Linked DNA regions of Drosophila melanogaster. The gene in region 3 interacts genetically with the main gene of each other region. Each region holds a gene or a part of one and is shown on either strand. Other genes may lie near its edges.

Region 1 (7,892 bases), on a different chromosome or scaffold from region 3:
AATAAAGACCATAGTAAGCTGGAATTGCACAAATAAAGCTGAGGGATATCTTTGAATGGCTCTTCATTTGAGATTTGAATTGAAAGCATTTGAAGCATTTTGAATCGAATTATACTAAGAACGAATATTCATTATTTAGAAGATTATAATATTTTCAATTGCAACTGGTAGCAATTGATTCAATTGATGTTTCTTAAACACGCTTACACAAGCGGGTAATAGCTACATATATTTTTATTCACTTTTTAGAGTCGAACGAGTATATACAAAATAAATATGATTTTCCTCCGTCTTCTGACTAATGCAGTATGCACGATTCCGATTGAGATTAGGTTTGGAGTGACTAAGACTAGGTACTACGAACTAATGGATTCACGCTGGCGATGAATCGCATTCACGAGCAGTCGCGGGGACAAAAGCTTAAACTGGTATTCCATCTTCTGACCGGGGATAATCTCTCCAATTTACACCTTGAAGATGCCAAAGTAGCTTCGGTTGTTTCCCTCCCGCAGAACTGCATTGCGATCGTTGTGAATGTCCTTCAGATGGATCCTCTCGTTTCGTTCCAGGTGGATCAGACCACTCGTGTGGCAGGTGTGCACCTTATGTGGCATGTTGGTGGGCACCGTGTTCAAGCACTGCAGGAATGGAGTGTCTCCTTGAAAGACGATAAATCCGTTCTGGTCGTGCGAGTTGTTGTAGCATATCTGGGCGTATACGTAATATAGGCCTGTATTGGTCACCGTCAAGACGCCATCGCGCGTTTGAAAGTGTCCCTGATAAGAGTTTCTCTCGTTATCATTTCCTATGTACATATCTCCATGGTAGCCTGAGAAATTCAAGAAGTGACTTCATTAGGTTGCCTGTAGTACTTGTATGTACACGCTTGACGCGGAAGCATCTCCTTACCCATACTTCCTTGGTGACGCCGCCTGCTGCTCAAGTGGAAATGGGCTGCTGGCCTCGAGTCCTCGGATCTGGCTGAAAGAAGAGATTCACCTGCAAATTAACAGAGGTGCGAATAGAGATTTGGTATTCGATTTTTGCCAATTGTTTCGCTTTTCTACACTACACACCTTTGCGGACTAGGAGGTGGCGATGGCGGGAATGCATTCTGCGACGGTGGTGAAGTGGTGCAGGGCTTCAAGTAAAAAGAAAATGTATACATATGTGTTTCAGTTACGCAGTTAACTATCTATCTTTAACCCATAGCATATAACTTCATTAATGGTTTTTCTTGCCTGTTTTCAACGGAACGTTCTACTTACCTCTCTTTGGAAGTTGCCTCATTGGATGACTTTTCCTGAAGCTCTGTGTGATTTCCTTGAATATTCTGCTCCTCATTGCGTACATCGGCAATCGAGCGAGATTTTCTGTGAAGAGGAAAAGCAGAGGCTTAATACGATAAATCCCTGAAAATTTCATCCGTGCTCACCTCTCCTGCTTCTTTTTGTGGGCATTGTAGCTGGTAAAGTCATCGAACACATTGTCATCATTTGAGGCTGAGGATGCACTGTCCGTCTCGCCCTCGCCCTCAGCAGTGGTCTCAGATGTGGGCGTGGTGCCGGTATGTGCATTGTTGAGTTTATTTAACATATCGGTGTAGTCCTCGTAGTCTGCGCCAACATCATCCACAGAGCTATAGCTAACGTCGTCGTCCTCGTCGTCCGCAATGGAATCCAGACCATCGCCATCGTCGTCGTCCTCCTCATCCGTGAGGCCATCCACCTTTTTTGGATAGTCGATGAGGGCATTCTCGTACTGCAACGAAGGGATGGGCATCAGCATTTTGGGTCAGAAGACTTGGCCAAGTACGTGACTGCAGCTGGCACAGTCCTGGCACATATCTCACATCCATTTGGGACGTTCATTTTTAGACACACGCCCGCAGCACAGGCTGTTTCGTCATCATCCTAATTGATGGCGCCTCGCTCAAAAACATGATACTCGTATACATATACTTGTGTACATCATACATATATTTAAAAGCGAAGGAAACTCTCAAGAGAATTGGCACCACAGATGCCCAGCCATCAAAATATAAATAAATCTTAAAATCTTAAAACCATCTCTGGCCATTAGGCCATTTGATGAGATTCGATCAATCGTCACATACAGCCAAAAGCGATCGCTCGCCTTGAACGACTATATCTACTGATAGAGCCTAGTATTTTTGTTGAATTATTGGGGCTTTTACCTTTTGTCACTTGGGGATTTGTATCTCATAAATTACGTGAACTGGCTGGCGCCTCATATTTGAAATGAGTGTTTCCTTGCGGAAAGAGACATTATAATTCAAATAATCTATCACAATTTTCTATGTGCCTTTGGCCAAGCAGCTAACAAAAAAAAATGAAACAAATAACAGATGAAACAGCGTCGAAATTATATTTTAGCACATAATTCTATAAATATTTTTGTATGTCCCACACAATAACCACATATTACGTCTGGTCATTTTTTTGAGGCATTCTTTTTCAAAAACAGGCGCATGGCTTACCGACTGTGAGATACCCTAGCCAGAGTTTGCCATCATAAAATGCAAATTACCCTTTAGGCAAAAAGAAAACTAAACATAATAGATACTCAATAACAAAAGTTCGATATACCCTCATTAAAAACTCAAGTACCAGCCTCAAGGAATAACAATCATTTCCGACTTTGTAAACAATTCGAGGTATCTGTATTTGCCCGGGGCAAATGTTACAGCCCCTGCCCCATCGCCGAGTACAAATATTGATGCTCGAAAGTGATTTACGCAATTGCTCACCTCCTTTTGGAACTCGTCGAACTCGTCCAGATAGTTTATGCCCAAACGCTGCTGGAGATTATCGACGACTCGCTTCAGGCTCTTCAGCTCCTTGTCCAGATGCGATACACGCGTTGTCTGCCAGATCTGCAAGATAAGATAATTCAATTGTTACACACTCATTCAGGCTCGTTTCTAATCATCCGCTCATTAGCAATTGGGCAATCAATTTAACGTAGCCCCAATTAAACATCTATAGCTGGTGCTAAGGCCCGGCACATCATATAACACCCAGTGCCGCGAACTTTTGACACCCGAAAAATATATAAAAACTAACTGAACAAACTGATAGAGGCGAGACGAGAAAGATTTCGTGGGGAAATACGGCGGGGTACGTACGATCGCCACTCAGCCACATAATCTGCTTAATGGATCATTAACATTCGGGCCGAGCAGAGGCCTTATATACGGACACTTCTCAAGTCTCGACTGGCAGCCGAAATCGAAAAGAATGGCTCAACTTAAGCCACTGTACGCGCAGACGGGGAAATATACACATGTACATACATGTAGGTACACACAACAACTTGTACTGAATTCTTGTATAAATTATGGACTTTACGCAGACCCAAGAAACTTGTTTAAGTTTCCAGTGAACCACTTTCCATTAGAGCTTATCGGCGATCAGTAGATCGATCGCAGCGCCTGCAGTTTGTCACTTTCTTAGAGGGCCCCAAATGATGAGGGTTACTTTGTACGAATGTCAGTGAAATTGAATTAAACAACGAAAAATGCTTCATGGCTTAACGGAGATTTATGAGGAAAACCGAACTTGAGGCCCACGTCAGTGGCTGAAGCCAATCATTTACAAGTCAATTGTCAATTGTACGATTTCCGTTCACTTAAGCCAAAGTTGAGTGGGTCATGGAGGAGTCCTGGGTGAGGGGGGGGGAAATGGGGGTGGGAGAGAAGGACCAGATTCAAGTCCACAAACTTAATCTTCTGCAATTCAAATCCGGATTTCAGCGAGCACACTCATTCGCAAAGTTATCAGGGAAAAACATGACACAACAACCCAGTCGAAGATTTATCGAATGCATAACAGAACGGACTCAGTGGCATTTAAATCGGTTGAACAAAAACAAAAGGGAAGAACAGACATGTACCGATAAACATTTCTCTAGCATCTGCATCCGCTTTATTTGGATTAGCTGGATCATTAGGAACCGATTTGGCCTAAAGACGTGTCGGTGATGACATCGCTTGATCAGCCAAGAAACCGCCGTTTTTCCCGCTCTAAATATAGTTTCATGCCAAATTATAGTTAACCTATCTGCGACGGTCACGGATCATAAAGTCTGTTTTCATTTCAATTTATGCATCCGCGGAATTTCGTCTTTAATTTGGCATCAACAAAGACTTTGTGACAAACAGCTTTATAAGCCGAAGCGTGCCAAAGGTTAAATATTCATTTTTAGATTGCGATTTCGGGGGTGTCTATACACATACGTTGTTAAAGTCCAATTTGCATTTATATTTATTCGCATTTTATTTTGGCAAGCTACTGAAATAAACATTTCCGAAAAATAGGAGTCTGTTCAGAGTCTAGAAGGCGGTTCATGGCTGAATGGAATCTCTCTGTTTTTATGCTTTCATTACTTTATTGGTGCAATCTGTTTTCCAGATAAAACTAACTGTCGTTGTGATGGTTTTTGGAGAGATAACTAAGCAAAATTATAAATTAAACTACCAAAATAAAACACTAAAAACACAATAAAACACAAATTCTACAAAAGTCTAGTTTAAGAATCAGTGTAATACCTTTACACTCGTTTCGAAACAGTCATTAAAACGGCCATATAATCATGATTGGCCCACTTTGGCGCCCAAAATATCATTAAACAACATAGCCCATAACAACTCATTCCTATCTATATTCTGGGGAAACTCCCACCAATAACTGATATACCCACACCTTTGGAATTCCGACGAATCATTAATCGCACACAACAAACAAAAAAAAAGGCATTCAAGTATGGAATAGCTATTTCAATTTGGAGGTGACTACTTTAATCTTTTTCAAATTATATTCATTAACTAAATCTATTCAGCACATTTGACGATTTTAGTGTGCTAAAAAACATTAAAAACATAAAATGCGACTGAAGAGATTGTACGACGCTCAAACACACATAAAATATGTTATACTATTTATTTATTTGTAATTATTTCAATACTAAGTATGATTTGTGCCACCTTAATTAAACATCTTTAAGCATGGTTTGTTATCTTAAGTAGGCAGATAGAGACGCAATGTTATCAATTAATAGCATCTTAATGAAAATTTTGTAGTACGATTTCATTCAGTTCAGAGTCTAATTGGTGTGTTTAGAATCGCGATAGTCGATCCAAATGGGCAATAATACCTGATTGGGCTGCTATTGGGTAAATGATTGTGAAGGAAAACTTACCGTTAGTGCGAGAATGGCAACGACCAGCCCCAGACCGATGAACCCCAAAACCAGGGGGATCAGCTGGCGGGTGCGTCGCTGGGCGGTCGCCGTGCTGGTCGCTTTGGCCGGAAAACCATCATCGTTGGCACTCGTTGGCGTTATAAACGGCTTGAGGGTCTCGGCAGTCATAATTGATGAACACTGGGGATCTTAGAGCAACCGGGGCCTCCAGATGCTGATGCTGATTCTGTTGATAATGACGACGATGATGATGATGACGATCTTGCCCACCCACTCAAGGGCACTCGACAGCTGTTTCCAATCGAGCTTTGTCGCACTTTATATGAACACACTCTATGTATTTAAGATACTACACGAGCACACAGAACAACCTCACAGACAGCATGAGATGATAAGCTGCGACATCTATATAGATAAACCCCTCGGGCTGCTGATGGTGCCCTTTTCAGATTGTATTACCACACTTGTTTTGTCTACTGCTTGTTTTTCTCTTCCGCGATCGGCAATTAGCAAAAGAAAAGCGCGAAAACAAGTTTCTCAAGATATTTTCTAGTTTTATCAGTTCTTGTTTGCGATAAAGGCACAGCGAAAACCAAAAAAAAAAAAAAAAACACAACACACAGTGGACGAGTTGCACTTATGTATTTTTAGTAATTTGCCCGATGGCGAAATTCAATCTTGGTAAGTAGTTAACTGAAACGGATAGCTTTTTTTCTTCGCTATCATGCACGCACGCGCTTGCTTGGGATCTCTGATTTACCGGTTTCTTTTCTCACTTTAAACGTCCGTTCGCGTCGACGATTCGAAAGAGAATGAATTTGAACTGAGAACGGGAGCGTGAACTGAGGGAAAACGAACCGAGCGGCACTTGATTTCTCACGTTCGAGCAGGCAGGCGAGCAAGAGGGACAACGGATTGGCACCGTCTCCCTCGCTCACGTGGCGAGGATGCGCGGCATACTTAAGGGCGCCTGCGCTGTTTACTTTGTGTAATTAATTTTTGGCAAGGTTCTCCCGGGGTGGTGTTTTGGTGATACAGTGGGCTCTGGCTAACAGGAATTAAATTAATTATTATATTTCTACAATTTTACATGTACATATGTATATGTAGATACGATTTTTATTTATTATAACAAATTATTTGTATGAAACTCATAATCATGGTGTGCATAAGAAATATTTACAAAAATATGATTTATAATATGATATAACACTAAATAATAGTTCATATAGTCTAAAGTTGTTAACAATTTAACAATGTTATCATAATTTCAATATCAAATTGAAATGCTCAAATAACGAACTTTAATAACATTTATCAAAAGAGAAGAAAATAGTGTATCTAATTTAGAATATTGGATGCCATATTGAAGACCATCTCATCGTTGTTTTTAGCCAAGACAGACTGTACTTGGTTCCGATTTCCCTTGCACATATGGCGATCATAAGTAGCAAAGCGTGTTTGACTTTTTGCGCAGTGTTTTCCACTGCTTTTATTTCTTTTTATGTGTTATGTGCACTTAAAACCTCCCCCTGTGATTTATAGGGGTTGCTCGATTGCTTTTTGAAATCGGCACCACTGTAAGCGGCTTGGCTTCGCATCCCCGGGTTTTCGCTTCATTTTCTTTGTGTGGCTGCTTTGTTCGAGCTCCCTTCATGACACTGACATGGAACAGATCCCCGATCTTCGATTCCCGAGCCGCAGCTAATTGAGTTCCGAAAAGTGGCGGATCGTTGACAAACCCATAGATAAGCCAAATGAACTTTTAGCATTTCATTAAAATCGTATTTATTATTACTTAGACCGACGATCGGGGTCTGTCAGCGCCGTGCCTAAGTACGGGTTCTAATTACGGGTAGCGGGGTAGCCATAAACCTAATGCTGATCCGATCCGATCAGCCACCGTCGCGACAACTAGTCTGCCGAACCGGCTGCCAAACAGACCCGTATCGTAAATCCGCCCAAGAGTGTCGTCATTCGGCAGAGATGCAAATGTCGGCGTTGGTCAGCTAATTAGTTTCTAATCGTCTGCGACAAACAGGTAACCACAGGTAGAACTGCTCAGGCCGTAAGAGCGGGGATCGGATGGCACACGCTTCCGGTGCACTTCTTAACCCATTAGTCGTTATCTGTTTTCGCATTGTGCAAGACCACATTTTTATTTATAATTTTCAATGTTCGGAAATGGTAAATCAATGATTTAAAATTATATACATATACATATGTATGTACATTTGTATATACAATAGTTTTTGAAAAGCTTCTATTACTTTTTTGTGTTTTGTATCTTACTTTTTTGTATTACATCATTTGTTTTATATAAATTCAGTTGTGAAAAGCTTAATTAATTATGGAATAAATCGGACGAATTGTTTCAATCTAAGCTCTGAGACCTTTTTGGTTTTATGCAGTGTTAATGAATCTGATTCAATGATCTGTGCAAACATATATGTACATATATCAGCATTGAGCTGGTATGTCGATGTACATGATATTGTAAGATCTAGATATATCACGTGCTTGCACAGAGGGTTAACCATCAGCCTCACTTAATGGAGCACGGCCAAGAAGCAAGACGATCTCGAGGCGATTTTTCAAAGTCAATGCCGGGCAATTGACTTAGCTACAGTACAGACACCCAGTCATGCCATTACACATATTCTCCCCCC
Region 2 (7,834 bases), about 12 Mb from region 3:
TCCTCAAAAGTTCGTCCTCACTTCTGTGCTACACATTGCAATTTTCTAGCCACTCCTCTGGCACAAAAAAAAAAACAAAACAAATCACTGGACTAATTAGGGATTAACTTGATTTGTGAATTTCGCACAACATATTGCATTCGTTAGGAACAATTCGGTTATTATGAAATGCCAACCGCGGACAGAGGGGTTTTTTGTTTAGTTCTATGATTTCGTTAGACGGAAAGAATTCGGATAGGTATCTGTATCTCTGGGCCCTACTAATTTCACACATTAGCTATGGCTAATCCTCGCCTGCTGTTTCATCTCTTCGCTCTTCCTTTGCGTCTGACTTAGTCTACAGTTTTAATATAAAACAATGAGCTAATTAGGCGGTTCTCATCTGGCGGCCAACTCCAACAGCAACACTGCAGCACGGCGCACAACTGGGACTTTAGCATCGCTCCAGTTGCTCGCAGGATTGCGTCTGCGGCTTTTTGCCTTTGCGCTTCAAAGAGCGACTGCTGCCCCCCATCGCCAAATCGGTTTGATAGGGATCAATGGCACAGAACTCGGGTCCACCGACCATGTTGTGCTCCGCCAGCTTGCTGTACTTCTTTCGCGAGCGCGTAAAGAGATTGAAAAGGGCACGGATTTTGCTCGATCCAGCCGAGTGATGCTGGTGCTGGGGATCATTGTGGTCATCATGTTCATGGTGCTGTCCCTCGACTGGCGCCTCAACAGACTTGGATTTGGTTATGTGCTTGGGCCGTTGCTTCTTTTGGTTCTTGGTCTGCTGGCGCTGTTCCTGGGCCCGCAGCTTAATGACATCGGGATGCGGCTGAACATCTTGCATCCGACGCGTATTCAGTATGGAGTTCTCCTGCATGTGATAGCCGTTCACGGCTTCCGTAGAAGCAATGGACGGTGAGGCGGACGCAGTGGTGGACGATGAGGACAGCGATGGCGAGGCGGAGCGGTAGGTGGCGAAGCTAATTGAGGCACTGGATGTATATAGATCCGATCTGGCAGTCGTTCGCGGCGTGGCCACAAAATCGGGCTCTTCGAAACTGACGCTCTGGAAGGTCACTGAACTCTTGCGCGACGTGGTGGAGTTCTGGCGCATCTGACTGGCGGGCACTTGACACTCATCGTCGGCATCCGCATCTGCTGTGTCCACCTCCGCCGCCACCGCGTCCTCATCCTCTGCTTCCCCTTCCTCCTCCTGCCTGGTGAAGAAGCAGTGCCGTGGAAACTGCGAGCCGGAAAAGTTACGCTGAAAGCGTCCACCCTCGAAGGCCTCCTCCGCATCATCGCAATCCCTGGCAGTCAGCGGTGTGCTGGAGTTGTACATGGTCAGGTCGCCACTGGATTTGGAGTTTACCCTTTCGCTGCTGGCCATGGACATCTTTTTGATCACATCCCGATAGAAGGCATGGTCATACGTATTGTTATCCTCCGATGGCAGAGTTAACTGGTTGGGCAGTGCAAAGCTATTGCTACCGTTCGCAGGCGGATGATGACTGCTGCTGTCCAGCGAATGCTTCTTTCTGCCCACAGCTGGACTGTTGCCCAGACTGCCGCCAAAGCGATGCAGATGCACGGCACCACTGGCCGCCGATGAATTGCCGGACTTCAGGAAGTGAAAGCAACCGGTCGGACTGGCAACGGTGTCCGTTTCCGAGCTGTCATCCGTTACCAAATAGAGTGGTGGTGGCTGATAAGCAAGCGGATGATCAAGTCCGTACTCCTGGCTCCTGGCGCGATGGTAGATCTTGGCTGGGGATTGACTGGTGGTGCTGCTGTTGGAGTTGTTCCGGCCGTTTTGGAGGACAATTATCGTGTTCGGTTGGGAGGTCAGGTTAGTTTGATTGTTATTGTTATTGCTATTAATAGTACTAATATTATTTAGCTGATTGTTGTTGTTGGCGGAGATGCTGTTGTTGTTGTTGTTGTTGTTGTTGGTGGTTGTGGTGGTGGTAGTTGTGATGGTGGTGGTGATGGCTTTACAATTGCCAATGTTGTTGTTGTTGGGGCGCGTTAGTATAATGGGTATACCTGGGTACAACAATGGTGTGGCCGGCGTCCCACCAGCGCCTCCACTTCCACCCAAAATTCCCAAACCCGGCGGCGGTGTCAGCGAGGCCACCTGTTGCTGGTTCTGCTGCTGCTGCTTCTTGTCCAGATTCGGAGCACTCTTGCTGAATGAGGAGTGAGTTGAGGTCTGGGCGGGCCATTCCGGCTGACCGCCGCTCAGTTGCGAAGGCAATAGGGATCGCTCCCGCTGGTGCATCGTCGACGGGCCCCACGTCTTGCCCTTGTGCCCATCGGTCACTGATTCACCCCAATGTCATCAAAATAATACGGAACATAAGAACATAACGAAGAAACCAAAGGCAAATCAATAAAATATACAAAAATTAATTCAAAAATAATGATAACAAAAATATGCAAATAATCTAGTTCAATTTGTCCAACGATACGAGGTGGTATCTTACATTCCCATGGCCATGACGTCTAGTCTCCTGTTCTAATTTTGGGTCTACTTAATGCCTAATCTTATCTCAAAGACCTGCATAATGCACTGAATTCTCATCAGAGACATACGTACATAGAGTTAAGTCTAACAAATATACCATAAAACCATGATTGAAAAGTATAATTCATCATAGGACTGTACTATATATAATACCCTCAAATTAATCAGATCTCTGGGATAGACAAAGTACTCACGTGCCACGATGCGCAATCCGGAGAAGGAAGGTGATCCCGGCTGTTCCGCCTTGTCGCGTACAGCCGTAATCGTGTGCCGGAAGCCCGTGGGCAGCGATATCTGCAGTGGTTTGTTCTAAAAGATAGATATAAGATATGTTATGCAAGATTTTTTTTTGGCTAATTTGACTCACATACCTTTTTGCCCTTTTTGTGTTTGCGTTTCGATGGCACCGGCTGCAACATGACAAGCTCCCGTTCGATCAACACTCTTTCACGCTCGCGCAGATTCTGCTCCCGGATCTTCAGGAGATTCGCCTTTTCGCGCTGCTCGTTTTGCACCCTGAGCAGCTGCTCTTCCTTGTTGCGCAGTTCCTGTCGGGATTAAAAGGGATAACATGGTGGAACGTGGCGGGTTAGTGTGGGCTAAGCATGATCACTGTACACGGGGACATGTGCTAGAAAATAGCATTAACTAGGAACTAGAAACCATGCAGCTGTTGGCTTGTGTGCGGCTCTATCGTGGGAGTTATCCAGCCAATAATAAAAAAAAAACAGGATAACTTTGGGTAAAATAGAATAGAGTAAAGTAATGTAGAATAGAGTAAAGTAATGTAACGAAACGAAACGAAACAACAGAACGAAACGCAACGCAACGCAATTGAAACGCAAACGGCGGGCAAGAGAAACCTGTTGGACGCGCTTACCTCTTCGATGGTTTGGAAACGCTTAACGTCGTTGGATGTTTTATTGTAAAACAAGGGAATTTTGTATTGTTTTGTTTTGGAGAGAGAGTATATACCAAATTATTAGAATTTCATCAACAACGACCAAGTGGGAGAAAGAGGGGAACGACTATGGAAGAACTGAAGGGCGCGGCGTAAGGCCAACAAGGAACGGTCTAGAAACGATCTAGAGCAACTCAAACAGGTAGGGGGAGTTTATATTTTCAGTTTGCCTGGCGTTTTCCAGACAGTTGGTACCTTTTCTTTTTCGCGCAAATCGTGTAGCACTCCAGCGATCTCCTTTCGCCAGCATTCCTGCATGTAGTGAAACGACTCCTGGGGCGTTAGGGTGAATTTGGAGCATGCGATGCTCTCCAGCTGTTTGAGAATCTCCTTGAAGCCCGGTCGCTTGTGCGGATCCGTTTGCCAGCAGCCTGCGGGATTTGGACATAATGAAATATTACAATAATATGTATAGGATCATTGTCTATTGCGTTCACTTACTCTTCATCAGGGCTCCCCACGTCTCGGGGCAGGTTTTTGGTATGGGCAATGTCAGCGTGTTAACAGCCACGCCATAGGCCACGGACAACGGATCGAAGCCCTTGTAGGGCGTCTCGCCCGTTATCAGTTCCCACAGCAAGACACCGTAGCTCCAAACATCGGAGAATCTGGCGGGTAAGGAGTTTTGTTAGTTAGGAAGACAGACGACAGAGTGTGAGAGAAATGGAGCTCACTTGGAATAGGTGCTAACGCTGATGACCTCCGGTGGCATCCAAGCGTACGTGCCCGCCGCACTCATCCTCTGCGTGTTGTACATCTCCCTGGCCAAACCGAAATCCGTGATCTTGAGCGTCTTCTGCTGCAGATGATTGCCCTCGATGGCCTCGTAGATCAGCACATTGGAGGACTTGAGGTCGCGATGTATGATCGACATGGGCGCCTCATTGTGCAGATAGTTCATGCCTCTGGCTATCTGAATGGCCCAGTTGACTAGTACATCGGGTGGTATCTTGCCAGCCAGTATGCGATTGAGACTTCCTCCCCTGGCATACTCCATCACCAGACAGAGTTTGGTATTCAGACATACTCCTCGCAGGGCTGCTATATTTTCGTGCTTGAGGGCCCAAAACAGTTTGGCCTCCTGCAGGACATTGTCCCGCATCCTCTGCATATCATCCTCGCCCGTTTGATGGGCAATCTTAATAGCCACCTCCTCGCCATCGTAGTAGCCACGATGGACCTTGCAGAAGCCACCGGAGCCGATAACTTCCTTGATGTCCAGCTCATTGTATTCGATCTCATGCGGCTGGATGTCGCCAATGGCGGACGAGACATTCAGTTGCAGTGGGTCCTCATCGGTGACAAAGTCCTTGGGAAAGACACCGACCTGCAGGAGAAAGATTGGGGTTTAGTTCAATGGTTCATTGTTAGAAAGGTAATCAATCACCTTATCTCCAATCTTGCCGGTCCACCAGCCCACATCGCCAGACACCTCGCTGTCCGTGGACAGGACCACAACGATTTCGCCGCGTCGCAGTGTCAGCTCATCCTCGCCCTGGGCATCGTAGTCATACAGCGCGGTCCACAGGCTGCCATCGCCCACCTGGGTCTCGACTTGCTCTAGATCTGGTATGGGAATCTCTGGTATCTGCGGATGATGCAGTTGCTCTAACTGCTGCTGCTGCTGCTGCTGTTGCAGCTGCTGCTCCTCGCTGATCGGCAGCATGTTGGTGGTGTCCAATCCTCGGGAGACCTGCGAGGGCATCAGAGGCGCACAGTTGGCGACATGGAAACCATGAATCTCTTCTTTGTTTTTGTTTTCTGCTTCTTTTCCTTTTTTGTTGTTTTCTCTTTGCTTCCTTCGCTTTTTAACTTGCTTTTGTTTCGCTGTGTGTGAAAGAGAGATAAAACCGCAAAAGGGGCGAAGAAGAAGCAGCAGCTTAGTAATATTTGTTGCCAAAGGGGGTGGGGTGGGGTCAGCTTACGGGTAAGGATGTTGCGGCTAATCCTGCTCTCCTGCCCACCGGATTCGGATTCTCCACTCTCCTTGTGTCCCACTGTCCGTCCGTCTGTCCGTCCGTTGACCACACGCACAAGAGCAAAAACAATAGCAACAGCGAGAACAACAATCACAACAACAACGGCACACAATCAGACAACACGGTACAAAACACACACACACGCACACGCGCTGCTGCACACCATGGTCGCTCTCTCGCAGTCGCAGTCGCCGTTAACGTCGTCGGTTATTTTGATCTATCCTTGATCCTGTGCAATCGGTTATATCCGTTTTATTAGCCCGTTTCTGCATATGTTTTTTAAACACATATGTATTAAAAAAAAAAAACTAGAGTTGCACTGTTCAAATGTGAACTAGTTTAATTGAACTGGTCTTTGGACCCAGCCGAGTGAACTGGTTACATTTGCGGTTCACCTGGGATTTTGGTTCCAGTTCGTTGGCATAATTTTAACTAAAATTGTGATCAAGGTAGTTGTTTAAATACCTTTATATTGGTAATTGTTAATATTTGTGGTAGAACAAGGTTTTGTCGATCATTTTGTTGTGGCTCACATAAACCAGTTGCTGCATTTATACTAGTTCCATTCGCAAATGTACTAAAAAATGCCATCAAAACGGTGTTGGGCAACGCAAAATATTTGGTATTTCAAAATACCTTATTCAGTATTTTCAATATTGGTATTTATCATGTCGATTATTTTATTGACCGTTAATATTCAAATTTGAAATGTGCTTGAAATGTAAAAATTTTAGTATTTAAATCCTATTAACATACATGCAAAACTCAAAAGCATTGTTGATGTGTAAATTTAAATTAACTGAATTTAAAGTACCGTAAACCAGAACGATTGCATTAATTGAACTTCTTCAGTTTTTAACAACTTAACAACTTAATATTTAATCGAATAAATAATTGAACTTAGTCGTTATCAATGCAAACTGAAAATTATGCTACCATCAATGGGGCTATTGTAACACTTGCATTCATTTAAAACTATTAAAGATTGAATATATCGAATGTCATGCACTTCGATTAAATCACATAATGTGAAATAATTATTTAAAATCACGTTTCAAATGGAATGTCGCTGTCATATGTTTTCCGTTTTGATATTCGGCTATTTCGTGATGCGCATGATTTTTGCAGAGAAGTCGGGGAAATCCATGGAAAAGGGGGGCTTACAGCTGCTGCTGCTGCTGCTGCTGCTTTGGCCGCTTTGGCTGTTTGGCCTGTTTTGCCGATGCGGATATGGCCTGATGATGTTGCTGTTGCATCGCGGAACGGAACGCTGTGTATACTGTGTATCCTCACTACCAACACCACCAACCCCCCACCCACGCCACTGACTCTCTCGTCGGGCGCCCAACACGCGCCCTTGTGTGGGTGGTGGGTGGTGTGTATTGGGTCGGTGGTGGGTGTTAGTGGCTTGTGGATGCTGGGTGGCCTAGTCCATGCCATGTGTTTAGTAAGTCCCCTCCCTCTGCTACGCTCCCTTGAAAAGTTCGGCGGCGCTCGTGTCCTTTCGGCTGCGACGCTGCGCCGTTCATCCTTTTGGTCCAGCGTCGGCATCGCACAGTGGAATGGAATGCTAATCAATCGCTCAAAAACCATAAAAATATGACATTTTAAAGAGTTAAGCCGATAATTTAAAACAATAATTAACTAATTGGTTGTAATTTAGTGTATTTTATGCATCTCAACATCTTTATACACATGTTTATGATATTTCAAGGTTTTATTGCTAAAAAATGTACAAGCAGCGAGTGCTAGAAACATAGCGTAGATAATTTTCTTCACATTTATGTTGCACAAATATTGTAATATTATTAACCAATTTTGAACATCTAATTATGGTCCGATTGGGCCCACTGTGCTTCGGCAACAGAGCGACTCGTGCCGAGCCGATGGAAACCGAAACGAAACCGGGCTGCTGGCTGATGTGGCGCTACATCCGCAACTCCCGTAGTCGTAGTGACAGCCTTTGCCGGATCCGGAGCCAGGAGCAGAGCGGCGCAGGACACTACGGCCCAGGACCAGGACCTGTACCGCTGGGCAAACGCCACTCGCTTCGCCCGGAGAGGAGAGCAGTCTCGGCAGTGGTCGGCGAGGCTGTGTGCCAGCATCACCAGCAGCAGCAGCGGCAGCGGCAGCGGCAGCAGCAGAAGTGGCAGCAGCAACGGCGGCAGCACCAGGCTGTGCCACTCAGTTACGCGCAACATTTCAACGCAACGTCGTGGCAATTCCAAATCGGCGGCAGACGCGGGCGTGCGCAGCGCACGGGCGGATTGCACGTAATAAATCCTCCGGAACGGGCTAAAAATACGGCAAACGCAACTAATCACACACAATAGAAACCGAAAAGAGAGCTAACTCTTCGCTAAGAAAATCGTAAAT
Region 3 (4,624 bases):
CGTTGTTTTTGATATTGCTATCGCGTTCACATTGGCGTTGGCCGCCGTTGTCGGTGTTAACTGTGTGGACGAGGGGCTCAGTTCCCCCTCCTGCGAACTGAGGCTATCCGGTTGAGCGGCCACCGTGCCGTCGCTCTCTTTGGTGACAATCTGCGAGCAGTTCAAGGATCAAGAGTTAGCAATGTGTGGCAAAGGAAAATAACGCAAAAGTGATGTTATCCGTATAGGGTAATGATTGCATTTAGTGCCAAACAATATCGAATTTAAATTAGGTTTTAAAGACGGGCAGAGTAAAAGAACGCTTTCCTCAATAGATAAAAACACCAATTGACTCTTTTACAATTGTGTATTGACCCAATAAAGCTGTCTCACCTGTTGATTAACAAACGTGTATTCCAGGGCCTTGTCCGCCCCCGTATAGTCCTTGACGATCTCGTGCATAACGCCCACTATGTACTGCATCGACGGGCGATCCTCGGGCACCGTTTTCCAGCAGGCGGTCATCAGGTCCTCGATGCGCTTGGGGCAAGTGGTCAGCAGCGGCGGGCGTTCACCTGCGAGGAGCACAGATCTCGATAAGCTCGATGGAAAAAGAGTGAATTGGAGGACGCACCCTTGTAGATCTTCCACTGGATGGTGTAGGCATTGTCGATGCCTTTAAAGGGCTGCTTCCTGGACAGAACCTCCCATAGAACAATGGCCCAGCTAAAAATGTCACACTTCTCCGTATACTTGGAGCCTTCGAAGACCTCGGGCGCCATCCAAGCGGCACTGCCGCGATTGTTGGTCATCATGGTCGACTTGTCCGCCACCGTGCCGAAGTCGCATATCTTCAGATTGCGTCCCTTGTTGGTCAAGAGCAGGTTCAGCGGCTTCACGTCGCGATGTATTAGTGGTTTTGGCGTCATGGCATGCAAATATGCCAGACCCTAGAGAGGAAAACAAATGGAAATGTAATTAGGGCTAAACTTTAAACAAATTACTATTATTTTAATTCTGGTTATGCGGAATAGCTATTGAAATTGTTTAAGTAATCATGCAAGCAATGTGAATTACCACAATCCATTTGAGTCATTATTTCACCAGATAATTTCAACGAATTGGATGGAAAGCGCTACGGGGTTGAGCCCTACGTTATAACCGCCCCGCCCCTCGACGACGACCTACCTCTGCACATTGGCGCGCCCAGCTCATGGCGTGGGCCAGAGAATATGCCGGCTTCACCTTGCCGTGAAGGAAGTTGTGCAGCGATCCACCTTCGGCGAACTCCATTATCAGGTAGGTGGCCTGCTGGTACGAGGATATCCCGTGCAGAGCGATGATGTTCGGGTGCTTCACGCGCGACAACTGCTTCACCTCCTTCTCGATGTCCTTCTGCTCGGCGCTGGCGAAGAACTCCTTGACGGCAACCAGCTTGTCGCGCCAAACGGCCTTGCAGACCACTCCGTAGGACCCATGGCCGACTTTCTGCGGGGAAAAAGATTATTAGATCTGATTCAACAGTTGTACCCTCCTTGTGCAAAACTCCTCAATACTAATTACGTTATACACCTTGGTCTAACACAGTTTGAATTGACTTCAAGTAGAACACACGAACGCATTGTGATGGGTAAATTTGAAATTCGTTTCTTATCAAACTGATAAGATCGTATCGTTAATAAATATGCTGATATTTGTATACAGTCTGTAGTTTGTTTTAATAAGTTTGAAACGAAATCCTAAAACGAATGTAAGCATTTAGGAATGCGTAAGTTTAAAATATAAAACCTTTCTTGGGTTTTTTAACAGAGCTGTTACAAAGCATACACTTTTAAAACGAAAAAATAACCGTTTATAGATTAAAACATGCTTTTTGAAAGTGCGATAATCGTCTGACTAACTAAGAATGAGTACTTGCTCTGCCCTAAATGGTATATGATTACTGGTTGTTTATCGTTTCAAGATTGCGTATACGTATACACCAATAGGAGCTCTAGACTTTGGGTATATTCCGTTTGGTATGCACACCTCTCTTAGTGTTATCTCACTGAAGTCCACATAGGCTGCCTGCAGTGCGTCCAGCGATGCTGTGGCCATCTCCGTGGAACGCTAAGTATCCTGGTGTTCTCTACTTGCTTTTCAGATGCAGCTTTTGTTTGTCAGTGTTTTGGCTTACAAATGAGTACTAGTTTACCAGTTGCAGTTGCATTTGGCGCCGCTGATTACCAGATTTAAAGTTCTCTTCAACTGTCCAAGTATGCCACCGATTCCTTGCCTTAAGGCTCTCTTCTATGGTGTCCAGGTGGTGCGCTATTTTGGTAGAATTACCGGGATTTCGCCTTTTTAGTGGCTACGATTCCGTGGGTTCCCGATTTCATTGCTGGCTAACTGTGCCTTTGGTTCCCTCTTGGGGACAGAGTTTTCGGAATCTTTGCAAGATCTAGACCTGGATTCATCATAAAGTTTCTTGCCTTTGTATAGATTGCGACTGACAACTTTTACCACGTCATTTTGCTAAGATATGGTGTGTTTCGCAGTTCCCAGGAGACTTCAGATGTTATCTAGATTCCTCAGCTGCAGGTTCCTGGACAAAGTGGTGCGTGATGCCAACCCTAGTGGATCGGTTTCCGTGCTCAGCCGATTTCCCAGACACCGCGGTCTCCGTGTCCTTTGTAGTCTGCCTGGTTCCACCACTCGTGCTACCGGTAGACTTCTCCAGGCGAAGATGATTGCTGTGCAGGACTGGGACTGGAACTGTGGGGTAGAATGAGCAGGCGGTTGACAGCAAGAAGGTGGCTAGAAGAGGGGGGCACGAGTTTATATCGACCAGCGGAGAGGGCCCAGTGCGCACATCACATCCTGGCCGGGATTCCTCCGGATTCCGGGCTCAATGCTTGAACAGATGGCGTCTGCATCGGACGCTGCCTTGGCGGGTTCTTGCGTTCTTCGCTGTAGATATACGCCGTACTTTTCAAGTACAAACTTGTTTTTTTTTTAATAATTTAACAAGACCGTCATCGATACATTAGTGCCAGATATCGGGCGCAAGGTACGTCGATATTTTTGCCTAGCACAGTGTGGACTCGCCGATAACGATAACATTGGTATTTGTATTTTTAATTCCAGCGACATCAATGGATCTATCCACTTAAAAGATACTTATTATTTGTGTGACATATTTTCAAAAATTAGGCATCAATTTAATTTTTACACCCGAGATACCAATACTCCCAATAAAAATAGTGATGCCATCTCGTCAGAGGAGCTGTGTCGCCCTCTGGCGCTTTGCATGCGTCTCGGGGTACCTATTACCTCCGATAGATGGCGCCAGTACATCCCATTTCGAGAGTTTTCAATCGTTGTTGTATTTTTAAAACGATAAGATAGATCTATTTAATTCTCTCTACCCGCCCATTTCCTCTGGCAACTCCAGTTGTTGTTAAGACATTTTGTAGTAAAAATCCACACGAATTTCAAAAATCCACCAACAAGTGCGAAGATGTACTTATATTGTGTAACGGCTTGTCACCTTTCTCAATGCATCATAAAAGTCCATCCTGTTTGCCCAGCTTTTTGTTCGTAATAATACACGGAATACACGCGTCTATAAGCTTTTCGACCTTGCTCTCTAGGTGTGGAATCCAAAACTGCTGTTGTATAGAATGTACGGTTTGTTCTGGTTTGCATAATGTCCGAATCCATGAGCTTCGTTTATAATCTTACGTTCGATTATTTTAGGTACAATAAGCAAATCATTTCCTTTGACAAACATGAATAAAACTCCTCCCTTCAGTTTAAGGTCATTGTAAGGTCGTTCTTCCAATATCGTGCGTATGAAATGACATTTCTTTCACTTTATACGTAAGCCGAACTTCGCTGATTCTAATAGCACCAACTTTAGTTTCTTAATACATTCGTCATTCGTCTGTCCATATATTATAATATCATCCATATAGAGTTGTAGAATGTCTCGGGAATATGTGGTTTATAAATCTTATAAATGCCGCAGTAGAATTGCAGGAAATCGACACAGGGAAGCAATCCTTGAGAACCATGCTGTTTAATTGGCGATAGTCCTATACAGATTCTGTAAGTGCCGTACTTTTTTCTTCACTACGACAGTTCTACTGGCGAAGCTTGAAGTAGATGGTCAATCGATTTCTTCTTTTAACCAGTCATCGACTTGTTTTTTAACGGCTTTGGCTTTAACTGGCGGATGTCGACTTGGTTGATGACGAAACGTCTTAATTTTCTCATCCGGCACAATTGGAGGTTGGATGATATTCGTCTATCAGCTTCCGTATCATAGGTGCAAATTGGGGAGGAGCATTCACATTACTTTCAGTGCAAACATAATCGTGAATACTTATCTGGTTAATGTTAGCTACCTCAGGCCAAGCTGATAACGACACAAAACGTAAACCCATTTACATCCAGTGTAAATTGAAACTTCGATAGAAAATCGTATCCAATGCACTTCCATCACCTTCCATTTTTTCATCCGCCACCACGATGAAGTTTTGAACAGTCTCCATATCGTCTATTTGAACATCTCCAGCGAAAACTCCCAGAGGCAACGTGGCCGCCTTGCCCAGGCCACGCAACAAAGAACGACATGGACTTAGCACAACATCTTTTTGCCTCA

What was found. Genes that interact genetically often act in the same process or in processes that back each other up.
Region 1: of Tak1 (region 3) and egr, changing one suppresses a phenotype caused by changing the other (phenotypic suppression), as found in Drosophila melanogaster (7 studies listed by BioGRID).
Region 2: of Tak1 (region 3) and slpr, changing one enhances a phenotype caused by changing the other (phenotypic enhancement), as found in Drosophila melanogaster (2 studies listed by BioGRID).

Annotation. Positions count from the first base shown.
Region 1 is NT_033778.4:10,076,511-10,084,402, reverse strand, and holds egr (eiger), read right to left. Parts: upstream 6,038-7,892; 5' UTR 5,392-6,037; coding exon 5,221-5,391; intron 3,791-5,220; exon of another isoform or gene 3,709-3,790; intron 3,616-3,708; exon of another isoform or gene 3,479-3,615; intron 3,216-3,478; exon of another isoform or gene 3,078-3,215; intron 2,897-3,077; coding exon 2,771-2,896; intron 2,151-2,770; exon of another isoform or gene 2,081-2,150; intron 1,762-2,080; coding exon 1,436-1,761; intron 1,374-1,435; coding exon 1,269-1,373; intron 1,142-1,268; coding exon 1,077-1,141; intron 1,000-1,076; coding exon 910-999; intron 830-909; coding exon 465-829; 3' UTR 193-464; downstream 1-192.
Region 2 is NC_004354.4:8,171,149-8,178,982, forward strand, and holds the start of slpr (slipper), read right to left. Parts: upstream 6,038-7,834; 5' UTR 5,405-6,037; intron 5,307-5,404; 5' UTR 5,146-5,306; coding exon 4,867-5,145; intron 4,807-4,866; coding exon 4,154-4,806; intron 4,088-4,153; coding exon 3,921-4,087; intron 3,851-3,920; coding exon 3,675-3,850; intron 3,420-3,674; coding exon 3,399-3,419; intron 3,067-3,398; coding exon 2,890-3,066; intron 2,828-2,889; coding exon 2,713-2,827; intron 2,314-2,712; coding exon 434-2,313; 3' UTR 1-433. UniProt on the Drosophila melanogaster protein: Activates the JUN N-terminal pathway during dorsal closure.
Region 3 is NC_004354.4:20,521,892-20,526,515, forward strand, and holds the start of Tak1 (TGF-beta activated kinase 1), read right to left. Parts: upstream 3,038-4,624; 5' UTR 2,077-3,037; coding exon 2,008-2,076; intron 1,468-2,007; coding exon 1,168-1,467; intron 930-1,167; coding exon 614-929; intron 555-613; coding exon 373-554; intron 151-372; coding exon 1-150. UniProt on the Drosophila melanogaster protein: Component of a protein kinase signal transduction cascade. Mediator of TGF-beta signal transduction. Responsible for activation of the JNK MAPK pathway (basket, bsk and hemipterous, hep) in response to LPS.